Caenorhabditis elegans: one gene and its partner. The protein of the gene in region 1 interacts with the protein of each later gene in a biochemical or structural test. Each region holds a gene or a part of one and is shown in the gene's direction. Other genes may lie near its edges.

Region 1 (11,567 bases):
TTCACAAATGAACTTTTATATATTTCCAAATAATCCAGTGAGTGGCAAAATGATTCATTTTACATACAAATTTAACCAATAAGTATTTTACAGGAAAGAGTGAATCGGGGAGAGATGTTTGGATGAAGGTGGCCTTGAAAATTTTATCTGTACAATGTTTCAGAGTTTCAAAAACCAAAGCTAGGCCACAATATTTTAAACTAAAAGGAGATCACAATAAATAGTTGATTTACATGGCACCAAAAGAGTCACACCATTCTTTGCATTTGAGCATTGTATCTGGACCAGCACTTGGTGAAACTGCTTGAAGAGCTGCTTCAAAGTCAATGTTCCTCACGAGTTCGGCTTTCAGTGATTCCATTGCAGCTGTCAGTTCCCCGCCTCGCAATGATTTGGTGTCGTATCTGAAATATCTTAAGGATTCTTAGTGTCGATTCTTGAAAAAAGTGTTGCAACATCGCGATTAGCAAAATTTTTTCAGCAAACGTACAAAATTGGCTTTTTTTTAATTATGATAATCCAACTTTTCAATCTTAAATTGATATCGAAATTTATAAAAACGGTTCATTTCATCTTAAAATGTTATTTAATTTTGTCTACAAGCGTTTAAAAACATTAAATAGTGCATGAAAGTTGCCATTTCTATACCAGTTTTTGATTCGAAATATTGGATTATCTTATTGAAACAAGCACGTTTTCCAAAAAGATTTTCTGCACATTCCTGCTACCTACCTTCTCAACACATTGATAGCAGCAGTTCTGCATAGAGACACAACATCAGCTCCTGAGAATCCTTCAGTCCTTGCCGCCAAGTCATCATAGTTAATTTCATCGGATTTCGGAGTTCCTTCCATTGATTTTTCGATAAGCTTCTTTCTTGCATCTATATCTGGCAGTGGAATGAAGATTCGCTTTTCGAAACGTCTTCGGAGTGCCTCATCGAGCTCCCATGGAATATTTGTGGCGGCCAGCACGAATACACGTCGCGAATCGAATTTATTCTGTGACCCGTCCATTTGTACCAGAAACTCGGATTTAACACGCCGACTCGCTTCGTGTTCTCCAGAATTTCCACGTTGTCCACCAAGTGTGTCAATCTCATCGATGAAGATTATGGATGGAGCATAGAACCGTGCAAGTTCGAATAACAGACGAACAATCTTCTCGGAATCACCACGCCACTTGCTGGACAGATCAGTCGAGGAAACGGTAAAAAAAGTTGAACTAGACTCTGAAGCAATCGCACGTGCGATAAGAGTCTTTCCAGTTCCAGGTGGTCCAGCGAGAACCATTGCTTTCCATGGTGAACGGAGACCCTGGAAGAATTCTGGCACCAAGAGTGGAAGAGTGACGGCTTCGTGCAGAACTTGCTTCACGTCGTGCATTCCGATTATATCATCTAAAGACATTGTATTTTCCGTATTTGTAGCCATTGTACCACGCACCGCTTGAACAATGTACTGAAAAGATTTCTGATTTTTGTTTCTGGAAAACATAATAACTTACCGCATCATAAGCCGATGCATCGAATGAATCTCCAGCACTATTTTGAGGCAGTATTCCTTGTGTTGGATTCGCAGGCTTCACATCAGCCGGATTCGTGCTCATCGACGACGTTGACTTTGATATTTCTCTGGGACGTGGACCTGCTGCTCCAACTCCTTTCTTTGTTGCTCCAAATTTCGATGAGGATGGTAACGGTGGCGATGGTTTGGACCAAACATCTGGGTCTGCAGGTGGCTCTGGACTTCCACTTTGTCGCGTCATCGCCTCGTGTAGGTCATCTTCATCGCGCACATTTTGTTGGACAAGCTTCAAATTAGCCTCTAGGGCTCGTAGGAATGTCTGAAATTTCAAATAATTCAACAAGCTTTTAAAAGATTTATATTACGTACATTTCTTGCGTCATGCTCGTCTCTGTTGCTTGCCGAAATTTTACAGCTTTTGACATCTGTCATGAGCTGACGAAGAAGATCACCAGCCTCATTCCATCGTCCGGCATCGGACATTGTTTTCGCGACTTGGGCTCGCTCCAGATATCCGCGAATGACTGACTGCACATCCCCATTCATCCTGAAAATATACTTTAATTTTTCAATAATATACACTTCTACAGACGAGAGGATGAAATTTAGTATAAGACAATGGGATTTGGCGGAGAAGAAAATGGCAAGATGATGAATGATAACGAATAGGGAAACGACGGAACGGAGTGTGCGTGGACTTTATTAGATGGGAGAAGAAGATTGTACCGTGAAGATGAATTTAATATTATTTACAGAATAAAATGGTTGAATAGAAAACGATTTTTCTTTTTTTACTTGATATTGGCTCACTTGTTGGAAACATTGAAAGAGTTTAGCCGCAAAACAACAAGTATTTACAGCGGTAGATCACACAAAAAATGATAGGTCAAAAAAAGTTTTAGGAATTAAATCCTTAGCAAAAGGCTTGAAATCTGAGATCTTTCAGCGAGATATAAATGATTAGAACCTTCTAATTGCATATCACTTGAATAAAACCAAAATTAAGCGGCGAGTTATTGATTTTTCAGAAAACAGATTTCTGCTGGTCAAACCTCAGAATTAGCTCATCCGCGACAAACAATTAATTTACACAAAGCAAAAAAAAAAAAATTGATTAATAAAGAGAAGAAACAAGAGCAGTTTGAAAAGGAAATAATTGTTTCACTTGTTTAACAAAAAAAGATCATAAAGGTATAGACGAAATTTGTGTTGTCCGGAGCCAGTTTGATTTGCACAATTATAGTGTAACTTCTTAAAAGATATCTATAGAAAGCTTTTCATAAAAAGTAAAAAAATAATTGCTCAGGGCTCCGCGGAGCTGGAGCTCCGGAAGTATGGCGCAAAAGTACAAGTGTCGTCAGTTAAAATGTCGAGTACGCAATACACCCCAGACACTGTCACGTCTGAATGCACAATCGCTTGCAATTTGAACACTTTCAATTTTCGAATTTTAGCGGAATTCCGCGGAAAACTTTTACATTTTCTTAAATATTCTTCTCATTTTTTAGGATTATTATTATTAATTGGTTTTTTAAAACTGCCGTGTAGTCCATCATTGTACTGATTCGAGATTAAACGCGTTATTTTTGTTCAAATTCCGAGAAGAAACTCAAGAAACAAAAGGAAATTTTAAACCCTATGGAATTATCAAGTTAAAACCGTAAGAAGTTTTACAGAACTCCCGGAAAAATTTTATTTATCAGAAATCTCAATTTTATAAGTTAATGTTTCTACCGTGCTTACTATATTTTTAATACCACTTCACATGACATTAGTATCTCTTTCAGATGACGGATGTCGCTCGAGAATTCGGGATAGCTGTCAGCGACTCCTCCACGGTCTTCGCCTTCCTAACAGATAAAAAAGGATTTTCAAATAAAGGTAAAAATTGCATCTTCTTCAGTTTCCAACATAAGAGATTTTTCAGAAACAGTCTTGGTCGAGAAAGTTTCACAAAATCGACAAATTCTTGCGACACCAAATCTCAGACGACTTGTTATCGAAATGTATTCTGTATTTGATAAATGTCAAAAAGGCTCCTCACCTGATGCACCTCTAGACACGCCTACTTGCTGCACATTCTCTCGAGCTTATCGTTCAGTTCTCTACAATGCCGCCGTGTCTCACAGCAGTTCCGACTTCATGACAGACTTTGCTTTGTGGTCACTTTACGAGAAATTATGGTTTGGAAGAGGTGATAGCTCGATATGTGCGGATCTTATTTCATGGGCCAATCAGAGCTTCACGTTTTCTAGAGGAGCCATGGAATCAGCTGTGGAATATCTGCATCCGGGGAAGACGATTCCAGAAGAATATTGGAAGGGAGTAGCAGTCAGCTTGCTTAGTTGCAATTTCAGCGATTGTGTTGAACTGTTGGAGCTACATGGAGGCGGATCAGAATGTGATGCATTCATTGAGGCTCTCACATTCTTCAATCCCGAAAACTTAGTCGACGAAGCATTAGTAAGACCCATTTATATAATAATTCTTAAACTTCGTAATATTCTTATTTCAGGCTAACACAGTAAATGAATGGAAGGATATCATGCGTGAAAATTTGACAAGTGGGAAGTACGGGAGCAACGAAAATTTCAAATATCTTACGAAGCTCCTACTCGGTGAGGAACGATACCTCGTATCTATGGCTTCACGGATTTTCGACACGTGGTGGCATTTTCTGCCATTCTTTGTGCTTGTCAAGAATCCATTCGCCGGACATGTCGAGCTCATTGAGCTAGCTGATGAGTGTAGAACACTATTCGTTGGAGAAGAGGAAGAGGAGGGTGCAAAGGAAAATGATGTATTCTGGTGTCTTATTTCGAAGGATGATATTAACTTTCAACAGGTTCTTGTTTTTATTCAAGAAATTAAATTAAATATAAATATCTCTTGAAAATAGGCTCACTATTTCTTTCACGATTAATTAAACGGCGACAGAACATTTCATTCAATTTTATCCCAATAAAAAAAAATCAAAATAATGTTCAAGAATATTTAACAATTTTCTTCAAAATAAATTCTAGATTGTTTTAAATAAGAATTAATTAATTTTACTGAATAAAATTTCAGTTGATTGCCTCGAATCCCTGGCTCGCAGTTCACCTGGTTGATCTTATTCACAAATCCACATTGGATCCCGAGTTTGAAGTGATGAGGAAAATGCACATGTTGGACTACGCCAGTGTTCTTATCTCTCATTCTCCGTTAGTTTTTGAAATTTCTAATTACTGAAAAAACATTTTAAAATATAACTTCACAAATTTTTTATAGTCTGTGGGAAATCGGAGCCGGATATCTTATTGCGTGTGGTACCGAAGGACTTCTACGTCTCGAAACACACATCGAAGGGCTTCACATTGAGGATGATGAGATGGCTGAGCAGTTGCTGGAAATATGTGAAGAGCATCGACTGGAAGACGCGAAAAGTTGTGTGACAAATACAATGACTTTCCGGTATCTGAAGCAAGGACATTGGAGTTCAACACTCGCTTGGGCGTTGAAAACTGGATCCAAAAAGACAATTGACTGGACAGTATCTCGAATTGTTGGTTCAAGTTCGAAGGATGAATTGGCTGCATTAAGAGTTTTATCTTCAATAACCAATCATTCTGTACTCTCACTTCCATCTCTTACCTTCCTCTACTCTTATCAACGATTTGTGAAGATGATGCACTGTGGTGATGTACTGGACTGTGTTCAACATCTGATACCGCTTATTATGATGCCTGATGTTCCAACTCAGTATTACTATGATCTCTTCGATTATTTAATCACGATTATCAAAGAGGATGGGCGTGCTGGAATCCGATTTTCCAAGGAGATTCTCTATGAGCTCTCAACCTTTTTGTCAACGTTTACGCTTGATAAACATCGAGATTTGAATGATAATTATATGAAAAAGGTAAGTTTTATAGACATTTTTATGATCATATAATTATAAATTGTTACAGGTGAAAGTGCTCAAAAAGATGGTAATGCTCAAGTTGACAGACTCGATTGCGAAAGGAATTGCGTGCTCTTGAATAATTTATGAATTAATTTTATTTTATTTACATTTGCCGATGTTCTTTTTTGTTCTGGGATCTCAGAAAATTTAATTTTTTGTATGTGAATAAGGATCACATCTCTTAATTTTTTTACTATTACTTGGTTTTCCACACAAACTCGTTGAATTTCGAGGCCAACCTACCTTCTTTTCGAGTTTTCCCCAGAGATCGATAGTGACCTATGTGCTATGCAACCGTGCCCCATTGCACGTCCACAAGGCCTCGTCAGCTCCCTCGTCCTCTTTTTTCTGTTTCGACAGAAAACTGCTGGAGTTTATGAATTTATGTGGGCGCACATGACTGTGATCTATTGATTTTCTTCTGCTTTTTTCAATAATTCTGAACCATTTCACCCAACCTGTACCCATAATTTCAGGCAGTTGTGTGCTTTGCGCGCAACTCGGCCAGTCATCGACGTGAACGCCACGGCTTCTGCTCGCTGGCGCCAACTCGATTCCACTTCGGTGAGTTATCATTAAAATATTATCAAAAAAAAATTTCTTTTGATTACAGGCAGAGTCTGGTTCGCAGTCAGAACAAAGCGCTAGTTTGTCTGGATCAGAAGTCATGAGTAGTTCGGAGGAGGTTTGTATTATATTTCTATTTTCTGCGGAAAACAATCAGAAAAATCTAAATAGCCGTTTTTTTTAATGATTTATATTTTAAACTATGAATTTAATAACAAGTTTTATGGTCGATTGGTGAAATTTATTTTTAGTTTCGAATCTTTTTTTTTGTTCAGGTATCATGGATCACATGGTTCTGTGGCCTTCGTGGAAATGAGTTTTTCTGTGAAGTCGACGAGGAATATATTCAGGATCGGTTCAATTTGACAGGTCTCAATGAGCAAGTGCCCAAGTATCGACAGGCTCTTGACATGATTCTTGACTTAGAACCAGGTGATATTTTTGCTGACTTCATGTGCCCCCGCAATGTAACCTTTTTCTAGAAGATGACATAGAGGATAACGCAACGAACACTGATCTTGTTGAACAAGCCGCTGAAATGCTTTATGGACTCATTCACGCTAGATATATTCTTACGAATAGAGGAATCTCACAGATGGTCGAAAAGTGGCGTGATCATGACTTTGGAGTTTGCCCACGTGTCTACTGTGAAAATCAGCCAATGCTTCCAATTGGTGAGTTATAAAAAAATCGCTACTTCATTGGTTGCGGATAATTTTTTTTGAGAAAAGTGAAACTATAAAGTACTAAATTTTCCTAATTTAAAAGTGCATTTCCAATAAAATTTAAAACAAATATTTGTTTTTACACTAAAATTTCTGTAAAATTCCAATTTTTCCAGGATTGTCTGATGTTCCTGGCGAGGCTATGGTGAAATTGTACTGTCCACGTTGCAATGATGTTTTCGTTCCACGATCATCACGTCATCAACATACTGATGGAAGCTATTTTGGCACCGGATTCCCACATATGCTCTTCTTTGTTCATCCTGATCTGCGTCCACGCAGACCAGTCACTCAATTCGTTCCAAAGTATGTCAGAGGATATATATTAAGCTAAATATTTGAAAATCCGAAATTCTAATTTAAAAAATCTTTAAAATCTCGGCAATCGAGTAAATCTTTTCATTTCAGTATACCAATTAAACTTTTTGAATAAAAAATGAAGTAAAATATTTGCTTGATTCGAAAACACAACTTAATAATGTTGGAAAATTCAAAACGACTAGTGTCTGAAGGTTATTTTTTCGGCATTCGGCAACTTTCAGGCTCTATTTGAGATCTTTTTTCAAATATTTCAACAAGAATAAGTTGCAATTTCGAATCAATAAAATATTTTGACACATTTCTAAAATCATTTTTAATTCAAAAAGTTGACTTGGTAGACTGAAATTAGAAGATTTACTCTATTGCCGAAATAAGTTGGCTGTACTAAATTAGATTCGAAATAATTTTAGAAATTAGAAGATCAAACAATAATATTTTATCCACTTTAAAAATTTAGCAGAACTTAGTACAATAATAATTATGTTATGTGTAAATTTTTAAATATCAAAATTTTCAGACTCTACGGTTTCAAAATTCATCCTGTTGCTTATGGAGGACAGGAGGGAAACAGCGGCGGAAATACGGCGAATAACGTTGCCGCAGCACAAAACAACACGACTCCAGCCGGGCAACAATCTGGAGGACAATTCAATAATTATGGTCTCTGAGCCACTTTCTTCCTTATTTTTGTTTTGATTTCTTCTTTCCAGTTTCCATTCAGAATGTCCCCCCTCTCAACACAACATCCTTATTTTCTTCATTGTTTCGTTTTTTCTTCTCCCCAAAATTTTCTTTTCCGACAAAACTCAAGAATCCGGCGGTTCTTCCATGCGTGTTTCTCTTCTTTTCTAAATCTGTTCTATTCCAACATTATGCGAATTTAAGAAATGAATGAAACGGTAGATCCCATACATCTCAAAAAGAGTGTTCCTAATTTTCTGTGTAAAAAGTGCAACGTTATTTATTTGTGCCTGTCTTCGTCACGCGGAAACAGCTGGGCGGGAAAGTGCGCTCTACTGCAGTCTCTCAGTCACAGCCTTCGATTCTGCCATCGACGTCATGTGTTTCTTTTCTTTTTTATTTACTATTTGAACGGTTTTAATATCTCCAGTTGATTTGGTTAACGATTAGCACATTGATTTCTGCTTATTTTGAAATATTTCAAAATTACAATTTTTGAAAACGCTCCATATTTTACCTGAAGAAAAAACTTTTGAACAGCTTTTCACATTAATTCCAATATATTTTTAAATTATATTGCATAAACGTGAAATTTTGCGAGGAAAAGGCGATACCCCGGTCTCGATACGCCTTTTTTGTAAAATAAAAACGGACGTGTACCTTTATAGAGTACTGTAATATCAAACTATCGTTGCTGCAAAATTTTTATCGATTTTCAGTGTTTTTCGGTAAAAATGTATTTGTTAAAAAAAATAATAAAAGAAAACGACACAAAATTTTTACAAATCGTGGGAAAAAGTATGAAAAGTCGATAAAAATTCAGTAGCAATGAACGTTTAAAATAACAGTACTTCTTAAAGGCGCAGACCCATTTGTTTTCAGAAAACAATCGTCGCGCCCAGACCGGGTACCGTACTATTGGCGGAAAAAAAATTTAGAAAAGAATATACCAAGTAAATATCAGTTCTCAATTTTAATATATATTTTTCTTGTGAATCATAGTTTAAAAATTCTTCTTTGTTTTTTCTCCAACTCTTCAAAAATTAAATAAAAGCTTTTACAGCTTTGAATCATCGAAAATGAATGGAAAACAGCAAGTCACAAAGAAACCATCAACTGAAGAAGATCTGAGCTTCACGGTTTGTTTTAAAGTCAAAAAATCAATAATAAATATTTTCCAAAGAAATTCAAGGTTGTACCAGATGTTGGTCTAAAAAGTTCACAATTCGAATTTGTGCTTGGTATGCCAATCAATCAATGTATTGCAATGATTCAGCAACATCCAAGAATGCTTACAAAAGTCGAATTGAAGTACAGTAAAAAGGTATAGAAATTAACTAATTATACTTTTAAATAAAGTTAAATTAAATTCAGGATCCATTCTACCAGGATATCATCATCTATATCGGTTCTACAGGAATTCGTCTCTATTTTGATGGCCTTTCACAGCTTATCAAGCTAATTGAAGTGGATAATCTTTCAATGATTACACTTACTTATAAGTATGATACCATCAAAAAAAAAAAACTACAGAAGCTCGTTTAAAACTATTGAATTTAAAACAAATTATGGCGTTTTGAAAATTCGAAAAATTTCAGCCTTGCATAAAATCTGAAAATTGAAAATTCTCTCTGTTGAATTCGGTCGTTTCGGGTCATTGTGAAACTATCAAAGAAAAAAAATCAATTTCAATTGCCAAGATAGTCATACAATTTCTTCATAAAAATTTTCAGCGATACAATCTTCTCTGATCCAAATAACATGGCGACGTTGGATCGGGTCAACGAATTTTTTGGATCGACACATCCAGGATCATATGATGATAAGCACAATATCTATGTGCAAAGTTGGCCGGGATTATCTTTCTGTTTCCCATATGGAGGAGAAAATTCGAATTTGGAAGTCAGGGTACTGTAGTTTGATCTTTTTGGGTATTAAAGTTGGAGTACCGTCTGTGGGTTTTTTCGAATCAAAAATACGATACCGAATATAGTAAAAAATTAAAAGAGTTTTTTCTAACCTACAGCCGCTACTTCACCTTTAATTTCCAAAAAGTTTTTTATATCTCCCAAAAACCGAAATTTCAAACATTCTTCAATTTCAGCCTGGATTTGGTGGAAATCTTCGTTCGCTGAAATATGATGCCAACTCTCAACCAAAACTTACCAAGATGTCCATTTATCGTGGACCAAATCCATCTGAGCCAGAGTGAGAATTTATTATTTATTTCTATTTATTTCTCAAAATTTGAAGATCCGTGGATACTCCATTCTCGTGTTATTGTGGTCAAAATCGGACGAGAAAAGTCGAAGCAATTTGGGAAAATGGGAATATTGTTGGAATTGATATTCAATTTGATACTCAAAGTACTGGAATTTTTTGAAATTATTAAAAAAAGTGAATATTTGCAGACGGAAGAATTGTCGATGGAGAGTATGATGTATCCACGTACACACGACAAATCTATTTTGGAGACTCTGTTTCGGTTGGTTTTCTCAATCAAAAAAATTTGTTCTAAAAATTTAAATTTTAGGATGTGCAATCGATTCTTGGAGCCCCGACAAAGGTCTTCTACAAGTCCGATGACAAGATGAAGTACGTTCTCGTTCTCTTGAAAATTCAAATTCTTTTCTCACAAATTTAGATTTATTTTCAATAGATGTTGAATTTTCCACTGAAAATTTAAACAATTTTTGAAGAAAAATTTTCTTAAAAAAAGTTGAAGGGTTTCAATGTAAGCGTTTTATATCAATTAAAAATAATTCATATAGCATTTTGTTGATATTCAGCAATATCCAATGAATAAATTAAAAAATTGTGAAAAAAGTTCTTTTTTTTCAAAATGCCTGAAATTTATTTAACAACTTTCCAACTAATATTTAAAAAGGATAAATTTTGAAAAAAAAAGTTAAAAGATTTCAGAAAATTTCATTAAAAAAATATTTAAAAATTCAGGAACGCCTAAAATTTCTCGAAAACTGAAGTTTTTAAAATTTAACCATTAACAGTTTCTAGCTTTATCAAAATTTCCGCTTCATCTGAATATTGAAAATTTCCAGAATTCATCGTGGACTTCACAAGGAGACACTCTATGGACCACCAAATTTCTTCTTCAACTACTTTGTAATGGGATTGGTAAGGTTTTTAGGGATTTAGATTACTGTAGCAATTCTTGCTATTGGGTACTATATTTTGTCTGTCAATGAGTCGAAGTTAATGTTCCAATCCCTTGTAATTGAACATATCCGGGAAAGGGATCGCTAATGCACACGCAATGGCTATTGTAGACAAATCTTTCTTCCGCATATGATAATAATCTGGGTAATCGTAGTGGTGGCTCCCTCTTGCATGTCCATGGCGTCCGGAAAGATTTACGACTCTGTAGAGAGAGAGAGAGAGAGAGAGAGACTCTTCGTTTGTGACACTTGTACGAATTTTCATCTGCTACATTTAACAAGAAGACGACTGAATTACTACTACACACTAATGACCTTCGTTTTTTGACACCGCACAGTTTATTTCATCAAGCAGTAAAGAAACTGAATGAGAGGACAAAGAAGGTGTCAATTCATTTTTTGTCGGAAGATGGATCAGAATTTCAAAGAAAACACAGCTATGGTCAATGATGAAAGCTTTTGTATGATTGAAAATTTCCTGCGTCATGGTTTCCTGAAATTGTAGTCTTTTTAGCTCATAGAAAACTTTTACCGACGCTCACGATCCTTACACAGGTGATTCGCCGTTTATGGACACCAACAGTAGGCTTCTACCCACAATGGATCTATACCAAAGGTTTTGGGT
Region 2 (12,046 bases), on another chromosome or scaffold:
TTTTTTTTAAATCTAAACCTGTATTGCTTGAAACAAACACTATTTGAAAGATTTTTTTTAGTAGACGAGTGCCAGTGTTCCTACGTGTATTTTTTATGCTTCAATAATGTCTGACTTTTGATCTACATATTGTTTAACATACCAATTATCACGTCTAAGGCCGTAAACTAACAGAAACTTTAACAGAAAATAGTAATTTTCTCTGGCAACGGCTTTTCGAAATTGGCATAAACTATGTAATAATGTCTGAATCTATTCGTAAATCCGTTTTCATGATCAGAGAATATCGCTGGTTTTTTCACAATTAATAAATTTAGTTTTATCAGAGCAGAAAATATTTGTTTTAAAAAAAGCAGGCTTGATTTTTCACTGATCAGCGTTTTTTTTTCAAGTCGTTCATCAATTTTATTAAAGCTTCCAGATTTGATAATAATTTTCAATCATTTTCTGACGTTGAAAATAAGATTTACGAAAAGCTGCACTTTTATTCGATTCTGTTGTTTTTCGCCAACACATTCTTCCAATTGACCAATCTCTACTTCAGTATTTTCTTGAAATATTTGATCTCAATTTTGTTATTGGCTTAACATTTCAGAAACGGGTTCTCGCAGAATTCAAAAGTTCAAAATGTCCGAGCAAGATTCATCGTCACCCAAATATATGCGATTTTTACTCGGAAACTTTACATCTGCAGAAATGGTGACGGATGGAAACTTTCTGATTTATTGCATTGAAATGGGTCTGCTGGTAATTGGAGTTCTAGAGAACATTTTTATGATTGGAGCTGTTTTTTCGACAAGTTGTTTGCATTTGGTGAGTCTTTAATTTTGCCGCGCTAGCAAAATTGGAAATGAATTTTACTCTCTGAGCTGAGAGAGAGAAGAGATCCTTTGATAAACTAAAACTCGTATTTATTATTATTCACTTTGACCAAGTATCTAATTTTTTATCTGAGCTTTTCAGAAATAATTTTTTCGTCAAATGTAAGTTAGCTTATCTTAATGCTTTTTAAAAACTATAATAAACTTTTATTGACACCACTCTGACAAATTTCAGAATCTCCGAATACTAATTTGCAACTGCTGCCTTGGTTTCATCTTAATGGCAGTGGGCCGTGCAATGATTGCAGTCCCACTTTGCATTGCCCACCTTCGTGACGTGGATATTTCAAGTGAGATTCATTCTTTAGATTATCAAAACATATTTTCCAGGTCATGCGTGGTGCTTCATTGCTAATGCGGTGCATCATTCATCGGCTGACTCGGTTTGCCTTTCATTCGTATTCATTATGCTCGAAAGAACCGCTGGTACGATTTGGTCTAAGGATTACGAGAAGACCAAAATTCACATTTTTCCCTGTATTTTTGCGTTTTTACAGGTATAAAGGAAGGTGATAGTGTATTTTACAAGTACTTACAAATTTCAGTGGTTCATTCCAATGTTCATGATACTTGGAAACTTTCTGGATCGTGCCAACCGCATGGAACATTTCTTACTGTACCCACATCTTCCGTGCCAAATCGAATATTTAACGCCAACTATGTTTATGATAACGATCTTCATTATTGTGATAGGATTTATTGCAAGTGTTGGGGTATTTATAATCAATTTACTAAAAATTCAGTCTTTTGAACTTTCAGGGAATCACGATAGTATACAATAAAAATATCAAAAAATACAATACTAGAGATATTTGGTTCAATACTGTGAACCTTAGTGAAAGATATCAGATAACAGAAAATATTCGCTCAACACACTTATTATTCCCATTACTTGCCTTAATGCTTATTTTTTCAACGCTTTCAGTTTCAGTTTTGATTTATGGAGGGTATTGGGTGTCGGTGATGACAAAAGAGCCGGCAAGGTTTGAAGAAGTTGTCAAGTGGTTTGGCAGGGGTTTGTTAGTTTGAAAAAATTTCAAAATAAATATGTTCAAATTTTAGGAGGTGAAGCCGCTCAACTATTTGACATTATAACTGCAATCTATACAATAAGCTTCCCAATATGTGCATTTATATGTCATCCAAATCTATTTCGATTTCTGCGAAAGTTTATTGGATGGAACAGTTATGCGGTGCGGCCATCGAATTTGAATGAAATCGGAGGCTTCGAGATGTCAACTGCTCCAATTCGAACACAAACCGAATTTCATTTTCAAGAATTGAGTAGACAGTGGAATACTTAGTTGATTTATATTTTTGTTTTTTGAGAATAGTTTGGATTAAGGCGTCTATGTAGGCACAAAAATGGTTGCGCCTCAGCATTCATTGTGCCTACGCCTACTGCCAAAGTAAACGCCAAATAATTTTTATTTTTAAATTTGTTTTTAACGGATTTGTTCAGTAAGAATATTTACAAAATTAAGAGAAAATATTTTTGATTCTTCTCTGTGTTCTGATTCTAAAACTAAACTAGGAAGTACATACATGCCTCACAAGGTACACAATGTCCCAACACTTTCAGTTTACAAGTCATTATCAACTGTTTTATCATATCATGATCTTTTTTGTCCTCTTGCAAGATGTCATTTATCTTCCCCCTTCAGTCATGTATTTTCTCAATCGAAAATCAAACGATCTTTGAAGATGTGACTGTTTTACACAACGACCTCAAACAAATATTACAACTGTCATTGGAGATCCTACTACTTGTTGGTTATTACGAGAACGTACGGATAGTGAACCGATGAGGGCGCTGGAACTGATCTGAAATATTTTGGACCCGGTTTCAGACTGGCTATGTTATCAATTATCAATTATCAAAACCATGCCAAAACATAACTTTGCATATTTTTACTATGAATCAGAAAAATAGATAATCAACGAAAAATCAACTTTTGATCAGGAAGAAACGCTACAAAAAAGTTCTGGAAAATGCCATAAAAATTCGAAAAATTCCCCGAGTTATTTCCTTGTAGAAAACTTTTTTTCAAAATGTTTGAATTTCTTATAAAATTCTAATTTTATACATGTTTAATGTCCGACTTCCTTATTCTCCACACATACCTCCCATAGACCCAATTCCATCCAATTTTATCGTTTTTTCAATCGAACATCAAACTTCAAGGCAACAAAAAGCATTTTATTACGGTCGGTCATTTCATTGACCACCACAGTCAAAAAAAGAGAATGGAATTGAAATAGGCTATTTATATACATACAAATGATGAGAATATTCAAAAGACAACAAAAGTTATTCAATTATCAGCTTTTTATCTCCCTTTTCCTCAGGAAATTTCATATAGTCTCCAAGAACATGAAGACCCATTTTTTCGATTATGAAAGCTTCGCCAGATAATCGGTCAGTTGTTGGAGCATCCTCGATTGGTTTCTCATTCTGGAAATGGACAACAATTAATTTAAGATCCAAAGTGTTTGACTTCAAAATCATTCAAAGTTTATGACAAAAAATTATGTTAGCCTCCATTGCGTGTGTGTAAAGTACCTCGTCTAACCAAATTCCACAGGTTTCAGTGCGATTCTCCTTACAAAAGTAGAATAACTGAATTGGTGGTTTTCCTGCGTCGAGCTCTCTTCTCACACCCTCTGCATTCTTCCAGTTTTGCTTCCATTCACATTTAGTCTAAAATATGCGCATTTATTTGTATTAAATTCAGAGCTTTCTTACAAAGATTCACTTATACAGTGTGAGAAAGTTCTATAGGACCCCCCTCATTTTTGACGTTTCACCTATATTGAAAATTTTTTTTGAAAAATTTTTTCCGTAGATTGATTCAAAATGTCAAAATATGTGGACACAAAAATTTTCAGACTTGTACCTCTAAAACTGGCTGCGTACGGAAAAAAGTTGGAAAATCAGGTGTGCAACTTCTATAGGACCCCCTCATATTTTTGACGATTTCACCGGAAAAAAATAGTTTTTGAAGTTAATATCACGTAAATAGTTATGAAAATGAGAATAAACACAGTTTCAAGCAATTTCATATTGGCACTTGGTGGTTGACCCACAACTGTCCTCTAACAGTCCTGTAACAGAAGTTTCCACGTGTCATCTGCCCTATCACTACCAAACTTTACAAAATGATACATGACACTGTTCTAACAACATCCCTAAGTTTTTGGAAAAATCCGAAAAGTTTGAGCCCCGCTGCACCGCTGAAACCGTACATGGGCCTCATTTTTCAGGCCGTTTCTCCGTTTCAGTGTGTATAACTCGGGTCCCGGTGAACCCCCGACATTGAAAATTGTTCAATGAACTCTCACAATCATTGTGAGTGTATCTGTGATTAGCAATAAGGATTTACCAGCCTCTGAGTTGAACCAGAATAAAATTGTCAATAGAGCAAGTTTTCTGTACTAATAATGATGTTATTATGCATAATTTCATAGACTCAGGGTAAAAGTAAATTTTTAGAACATTGCAACCACGAAATCGTGACCATTTTTTTGTGGATGCTAGCGTAATGTTCATACGAGTTTATTGAACAGTTTTCAAAGTCGGGGGTTCACCGTGACCCGAGTTATACACACTGAAACGGAGAAACGGCCTGAAAAATGAGGCCCATGTACGGTTTCAGCGGTGCAGCGGGGCTCAAACTTTTCGGATTTTTCCAAAAACTTAGGGATGTTGTTAGAACAGTGTCATGTATCATTTTGTAAAGTTTGGTAGTGATAGGGCAGATGACACGTGGAAACTTCTGTTACAGGACTGTTAGAGGACAGTTGTGGGTCAACCACCAAGTGCCAATATGAAATTGCTTGAAACTGTGTTTATTCTCATTTTCATAACTATTTACGTGATATTAACTTCAAAAACTATTTTTTTCCGGTGAAATCGTCAAAAATATGAGGGGGTCCTATAGAAGTTGCACACCTGATTTTCCAACTTTTTTCCGTACGCAGCCAGTTTTAGAGGTACAAGTCTGAAAATTTTTGTGTCCACATATTTTGACATTTTGAATCAATCTACGGAAAAAATTTTTCAAAAAAAATTTTCAATATAGGTGAAACGTCAAAAATGAGGGGGGTCCTATAGAACTTTCTCACACTGTATAATGTCTAGTTTTAATAATTTTGTTTTTTTTGACAAAAGGAATTTTTTGAATTGGGATAAACTTACATCCTGTAAAATACTGCACACAACTGTATTTTCTGGTAGTCGAAAATCGGAAAATGGTATTGAAAAGCCAACAAGACTAGCAAAAGTAGAAATAAATAATATAGAAATGCGAGAGATTCGACTCATTTTCAGAATGTCGAGACTTGTCAAATGTCAAATTGTGTGAGAGAATTCGAAGAATAAGTGATAAAAGAGGAGAAAAAGAAAAAGACAAATGATAGAGGGGTGTAATGCGTAATACTGTCTAAAAATATCTTAACATCACGAAAAAGAATAAGGGAGGAGAACATAAAGTGACGAGATAGAGAGATATTTTTTGTATTTTATTATCTCTTTATCGGCATATTCCGTTCATCAAACACACAATTATCGGATACCAACTTGATTTGAACATTTCATTGAGTCATTCATAATCACAATCTATAGACTTTGAACTAACAAGGAAATGGGAAACAATCGAATACTGTAAAATTGTCAGACGAAATTATTGTTATTTCTATCTGAATTGTGCAAAGTTGAAAAAAATCCCACTGTTCTCATCATTGTGCCAAAGTTTCGTTTTGAAATAGTAATATTAATTGGGAGCTACACTGAAACTGGATTTTCAGTAAAAATTTTGAACAGCGAGTGTCGATTTTTTATGTTTATAATATTCAGCTATCAATTAATAAATCTGTAGTTTTAAAAAAAATTGGGTGTTTGGTTTGGAAGAAAATAATTTTTTTGGAAATTGAAAAATATATTAATTGGGAGCTAAACTAAAACTGGAATTTCAGTCAAATTTTGAACGGTGAGTACCGATTTTGTGTGGTTATATTTTTATCCAGACATTAATAAGTAAATTTGTAAAGTTTAAAAAATTGGGTGTTTGGTTTGGAAGAATTTTTTTATTCAAAAATTTTTATTTCAATTTATTATTCAAATTTCATTAATAAATTTCTTTACAATACAGCTTTCTTTCCCAATTTCTAAATCCTCGTCAGTTTTTCAAAAACTTCAAAATTTCCATGGAAATTGTGGGCCGTTAACGTATCCCAGCGATGGTCCTTCGATTCAGCCCGCCTTTTCGCTTTTCGACAACTTCATTTTTCAGTTGTTGTCTTTTCTGCTCTGAATTCATTTTTGTTTTCAGGCGAATTTTTACAAAACTTCTACAAGATAACCTTCCAGCTCATTGGATGAAGAAGTCAAACTTCTTTGTTCTATTGCTACTGGCAATATCGGCGGTGAGTGAAAAATCTCAGAAGGAAAAGCTGAATAAAACTACTTTTAAGATACAAATTGATGGATTGCATTACCAACTTCTTGACGGGATCGCAACTTTTCGATTAGACAACGATGACACAACAATTGGAGGAGTTCCAAGGAATTCACAAGGAGTCGTTAAAATCAAATTGAGCTGCGGATTGAATAGACTTTCAGTTGAGAACAAGGTTACGGAAGTTTCAAGTTTGGAATTGGTTAGTCGTGTATTTTTTTAGTTGTAAAACCTTGTTGTTCCTATTCAGATTCACAACTGCATCCAAACAGAGACCAGGCTTGTCGGACTCTTTTTGAACTCAACTTGGATTACTTTGAATGAAGTGAATGATGACGATGAGATCAGTATTGCTGTGGAGGCGAAATATGAAGTTTGTTATGGTAAGGATTATTATTTGGGGAAGGTTTTGTGCGTACCTATGTATAATGTCGGCGTTACTCACCTGGAAGACCTATGCCAACAAAGTCTTGACTTGGTTTGTGCCGATTAATCTTCTTTGCAAGGTACTCAAGTAGATACTCAGGTAGACACATAGGTAGGCTATGAGATAGGCATGAATTGCGCATTCTGAATCTGGTGAAACGTTATTTGCATATGTAGTGCTATGTGTTTCTAACATTTTAATAGAAACTCTTTCTCAGATGACGGTATCGACAGATGTGATGGCTCCCTATGGTGGCTCCAAGTCGGTGGAAACGAGATGGCGTTGCTGGGCTACCGAGAGAAGTGTGAGAGCGGAGAGATCAACGAAGAGTATGCGAGAAGAATGTGCAAGCGACCTTGTCAGTTCTTAATTGCTCATGAACATTGGCTAAACAGTATTTCAGATCGTTCTGAAAAGAGCACAGCTATCAGTGATAGTCAAGGAGTGTATTATGATGGGCAGGTACTTAAGGGTGTCAGGGCAAAACAGTTTAGCATGAGGACTTCTGGATCACCTACTTTGAGAAGAATGAAACGAGACGCTGTGAGTACGATTTCTCAGATAGTGTTTACTTTCATTTTATTCCAGGGTGATAATACTTGCGACTACACTATTGAGTCAACTTCAACCTCGACTACAACTCCAACTACCACAACCGTGACTAGTACCGTGACATCTACAACAACCGTCCCAACAAGTACAAGTACGGTGACTACCGCAATGAGCACAAGCACATCAACTCCATCAACATCCACCACCATCGAATCCACGTCAACAACGTTCACTTCCACAGCATCCACGTCGACATCATCAACTAGCACAACTCAGCAGAGTTCTAGCACAATCACAAGCTCGCCGAGCTCCACCACACTGAGTACAAGTATTCCAACCACTACAACACCCGAAATCACATGTGAGTTTCGGACGCACAATAATAATTACAAGCAAACCAGAATTTGCTGTTATGATTGAGAGGCAGGAATAAAATTGTTAATAATTTTCTTCAAACCCGTTTGTATTGCCAATATTTCAGATTTTATACAATTACAGTTTGCTCAGGGTAAAACAAAGCAGTCACTATTACCGATCACCTTGTTGTGCATTGTTAGTTATCCAGAAAATCCTTAACGAAAATTTTCAGCAACTTTGTCGTCTCTCCCGGATAATGCGATTTGCTCCTACCTTGACGAGACCACTACGTCTACCACTTTCACCACCACTATGTTGACATCCACTACTACCGAAGAACCATCTACTTCCACAACCACAACAGAAGTTACATCTACATCTTCTACTGTTACAACAACTGAACCAACCACTACTTTGACCACCTCGACTGCTTCAACGTCAACAACCGAACCATCGACGAGTACTGTAACTACTTCCCCGTCAACATCCCCTGTGACTTCTACGGTGACATCTAGTTCAAGCTCCTCGACTACTGTAACGACCCCAACAAGCACTGAGTCCACATCGACATCTCCTTCGTCTACAGTAACAACCAGCACAACTGCTCCTTCAACATCAACTACTGGGCCATCGAGTTCTTCTTCCACTCCAAGTTCAACGGCTTCTTCGTCTGTGTCAAGCACCGCTTCTTCTACTCAATCATCCACGTCTACTCAGCAAAGTTCAACAACAACAAAATCTGAGACAACTACTAGCTCGGACGGAACTAATCCAGACTTCTATTTTGTAGAAAAGGCAACTACAACGTTCTATGATTCCACAAGTGTGAACCTAACGCTTAATTCCGGCCTCGGAATCATTGGAGTAAGTACAATATTGAAGACTGCATTATTCAAATGTAACACTGTATTTCAGTATCAAACATCCATCGAATGTACAAGCCCTACATCTTCTAATTATGTTTCAACCACTAAAGACGGAGCATGTTTCACGAGTAATTGTTTATAAAGACTTATTATAAATTAGAGACAGGCAAAATCTTTAATTCTGAAAACGTTTCTATAAAAACTTCAAATCGGAAAAAAAGCAAACCTTTTTCGGGCGATAGTTATTTAGATTTTTTACACATATTTTTTCAATATATTCAGAAAGTGTATCAATGCCACGTCTCGGAGGGACGTACCCTGCTAGCACATTCGTTGGTCCTGGAAACTACACCTTCAGAGCAACTATGACAACCGACGATAAAAAAGTTTACTACACGTATGCGAACGTTTATATTCAGGAATATTCTTCCACCACCATAGAGTCGGAATCTTCTACATCTGCTGTAGCAAGCTCTACGTCATCTACACCATCAACTCCATCTTCCACATTATCAACATCCACAGTCACAGAGCCGTCATCCACACGTTCAAGCGATTCTACGACAACGTCGGCTGGGAGCACAACTACTTTACAAGAATCCACAACAACTTCCGAAGAAAGTACTACTGATTCCAGTACAACTACCATCTCGGACACATCCACAACTTCTTCCAGTCCGAGTTCTACCACTGCTGATTCAACTTCCACTTTGTCAGTCGATCAGTTCGATTTCATCTTGGACAGTGGATTGTCATGGAACGAGACACGTCACAATGAAGACAGCATCAACATTGTACCTTTACCAACTAATGCCATTACTCCTACTGAGGCGGGTTTAATAAATCGTTGAGCCAAATGAAACGAATGATTTTAGAGAAGCCAAACATTTGAATGCAGAAATGTGTCTACTGAGCCTTTTCTTATAATTAAGGAATCCACTTGCTTAAACTACTGTAGGATTAACAAACTTTTTGAAATTATTGAATTAAAGCGAATTTCCAGCAAACACGGTCCTAAACGCAACTTATTCTTCTAATATTCCAATTCAACCAATTGAAACATTTCTTGTTGGCATTGGCACCTATGAGTTTCGAATCAACATGACGGATTTGACGACAATGCAAGTGGTCAGCCACATTTTCACATTGAATGTTGTTGCGGATTCAACAAGTACATCCGAAGTTACCAGTACAACTTCAACTGGATCTTCTTCCGAAAGTTCAGCCATTTCCACAACTTCAGGAATTGAATCTACGTCGACTTTGGAAGCTAGCACGACTGATGCTTCACAAGACAGTTCTACATCAACATCGGATTCTGGCACAACTTCAGATTCCACCACCATAGACTCATCTAACTCAACTCCATCCACTTCAGATTCATCTGGTTTATCTCAAACACCATCCGATTCATCAAGTGCATCTGATAGCATGAGAACAACAACTGTGGATCCAGACGCAAGTACAGAAACCCCTTACGACTTTGTATTGGAAAATTTGACATGGAACGAGACAGTGTATTACTCTGAAAATCCATTTTATATTACACCAATTCCAAACAAAGAGCCCGGAGCTTTAACGGTAAGATATTCAAATCAATCTTACTTAAAAAAAACCTTAATATTTTAAGACTGCTATGACCTGTCAATGTCGAAACGATTCTTCTCAGCCATTTGTTTTACTGAAGGAAAGCAATTGCTTGACAGAGTGTGAGATTTTGCCTACTAGGGAGTGCTTTTTGTACTCCATGGAAATATGAGTCGGAAAACTACTTTTCCGGTAGTTGATATCATTTTCTACACGATTCTGAAAGAAAATCCTGCCGGTTTTGGGTTTTAGTGTGAAAAGTTTGCGTTTGAAAATACCACCCTAAATTCAGTTGATTTAACACTACGCGACCCATATTTCATGTGCAACGGGAAAGCCAAGTACACTGAAAACTGGCGCCGCTCCCGCCGTTATCCACTGGACCACCGAAATTATGACTTTGCTTTGAAAATTTGAAAGTGAGTTTTCAGTGTACTTGGCTTTCCCGTTGCACATGAAATATGGGTCGCGTAGTGTTAAATCAACTGAATTTAGGGTGGTATTTTCAAACGCAAACTTTTCACACTAAAACCCAAAACCGGCAGGATTTTCTTTCAGAATCGTGTAGAAAATGACATAAACTACCCGAAAAGTAGTTTTCCGACTCATATTTCCATGGAGTACAAAGAGCACTCCCTAGTTAGCAACGTTATCAATTTTCATTTATGTACTATATTACAGTTGGAAAAAATGGTGCATATAGTGCCTCCGTATCTTTCAACCCAATGACCAGCTTTGTACCTGCAACTGGAACTTATGAATTCTTAATTAATGTTACCAATCGTGCATCTGGAGAATCTGCCAGTCACATCTTTACTATGAATGTAGTTCTTCCAACTACAACTACTGGTAAGCGCATTACTGTTTTTTTTTCATAAAATTCAATTTTTAGAAACCCCACCAACCACTGTCAGCTCGTCGGATGATGCCGGTGGCAAAACCGGTGGAACTGGAGCTACTGGGGGAACTGGTGGAACAGGTTCAGGAGGATCTGCGACAACTCTTAGCACGGGTGATGCAGTCAGATCAACCACTTCTGGATCTGGAAGTGGACAATCATCAACGGGATCGGGGGCTGGTGGATCAGGAACGACCGCTTCTGGAAGTGGGTCAGGGGGGTCTTCAGGGACGGGTTCGGACGGGGTAAACTCTGGAAAAACAACGGCATTGAATGGAGATGGTACAGGATCTGGAACAGCTACCACACCAGGATCCCATTTAGGAGACGGTGGTAGTACATCTGGCTCAGGATCAGATTCAAATGGATCTTCTGGTGTTTCAACCAAGAGCTCATCTGGCTCCGATACGTCTGGATCTTCCGATTCCTCTGGTGCAAATGGTGCATTCTCTGCTACCGCGCAACCATCTACAAGAACTACTAAAACTCGCAGCTCTCTTGCAACAGTTTCTCCAATTTCTGCAGCTGAACAAGCGATCATAGATGCTCAAAAAGCTGATGTAATGAACCAACTGGCTGGGATAATGGATGGATCTGCATCCAACAACTCTCTAAACACAAGCAGCTCTCTTCTCAATCAAATCTCATCTCTACCTGCCGCAGATCTAGTGGAAGTTGCTCAAAGTTTGCTCTCAAATACCCTCAAAATCCCTGGAGTCGGAAATATGTCAAGTGTTGATGTTTTGAAAACATTGCAAGACAATATTGCAACAACAAATTCGGAATTGGCCGACGAAATGGCAAAAGTTATCACTAAACTAGCAAATGTCAATATGACTTCCGCACAATCCTTGAACTCCGTACTGTCTTCTCTCGATCTTGCTCTCAAAGGAAGTACAGTCTATACCTTGGGAGTATCAAGTACAAAATCAAAAGATGGAACTTACGCGGTTATTTTTGGATATGTTATTGCATCGGGATATACATTGGTATCGCCTAGGTGTACGGTAAGAAAATGATGG

Evidence for each region.
Region 2: the proteins of kin-10 (region 1) and lov-1 form a complex in vitro, tested with the Caenorhabditis elegans proteins (one study listed by BioGRID).

Annotation. Positions count from the first base shown.
Region 1 is NC_003279.8:8,285,387-8,296,953, reverse strand, and holds kin-10 (Casein kinase II subunit beta), read left to right. Parts: upstream 1-5,948; 5' UTR 5,949-6,036; intron 6,037-6,085; 5' UTR 6,086-6,139; coding exon 6,140-6,157; intron 6,158-6,314; coding exon 6,315-6,471; intron 6,472-6,521; coding exon 6,522-6,713; intron 6,714-6,880; coding exon 6,881-7,070; intron 7,071-7,602; coding exon 7,603-7,753; 3' UTR 7,754-7,993; downstream 7,994-11,567. Other genes in the region: Meiotic spindle formation protein mei-1, read right to left, coding at 230-413, 733-1,460, 1,507-1,845, 1,896-2,072; npp-2 (Nuclear pore complex protein Nup85), read left to right, coding at 3,314-3,407, 3,454-3,989, 4,042-4,371, 4,596-4,729, 4,797-5,427, 5,477-5,548; phaf-1 (PHAF1 protein T01G9.2), read left to right, coding at 8,846-8,905, 8,950-9,090, 9,141-9,268, 9,500-9,674, 9,871-9,974, 10,020-10,132, 10,178-10,251, 10,300-10,361 and 1 more. UniProt on the Caenorhabditis elegans protein: Participates in Wnt signaling. Plays a complex role in regulating the basal catalytic activity of the alpha subunit.
Region 2 is NC_003280.10:10,116,037-10,128,082, reverse strand, and holds the start of lov-1 (Location of vulva defective 1), read left to right. Parts: upstream 1-6,257; coding exon 6,258-6,305; intron 6,306-6,353; coding exon 6,354-6,539; intron 6,540-6,587; coding exon 6,588-6,720; intron 6,721-6,981; coding exon 6,982-7,122; intron 7,123-7,167; coding exon 7,168-7,307; intron 7,308-7,352; coding exon 7,353-7,677; intron 7,678-7,905; coding exon 7,906-8,537; intron 8,538-8,588; coding exon 8,589-8,667; intron 8,668-8,821; coding exon 8,822-9,369; intron 9,370-9,414; coding exon 9,415-9,493; intron 9,494-9,542; coding exon 9,543-10,120; intron 10,121-10,169; coding exon 10,170-10,248; intron 10,249-10,807; coding exon 10,808-10,975; intron 10,976-11,018; coding exon 11,019-12,031; intron 12,032-12,046. Other genes in the region: putative G-protein coupled receptor F27E5.8, read left to right, coding at 628-813, 1,057-1,171, 1,212-1,378, 1,427-1,594, 1,641-1,896, 1,944-2,185; F27E5.7 (DUF2147 domain-containing protein), read right to left, coding at 3,193-3,336, 3,445-3,582, 5,080-5,205. UniProt on the Caenorhabditis elegans protein: Required for two aspects of male mating behavior: response to hermaphrodite contact and vulva location. Acts in the same pathway as pkd-2 and atp-2 in response behavior. May be required for ciliary targeting of pkd-2.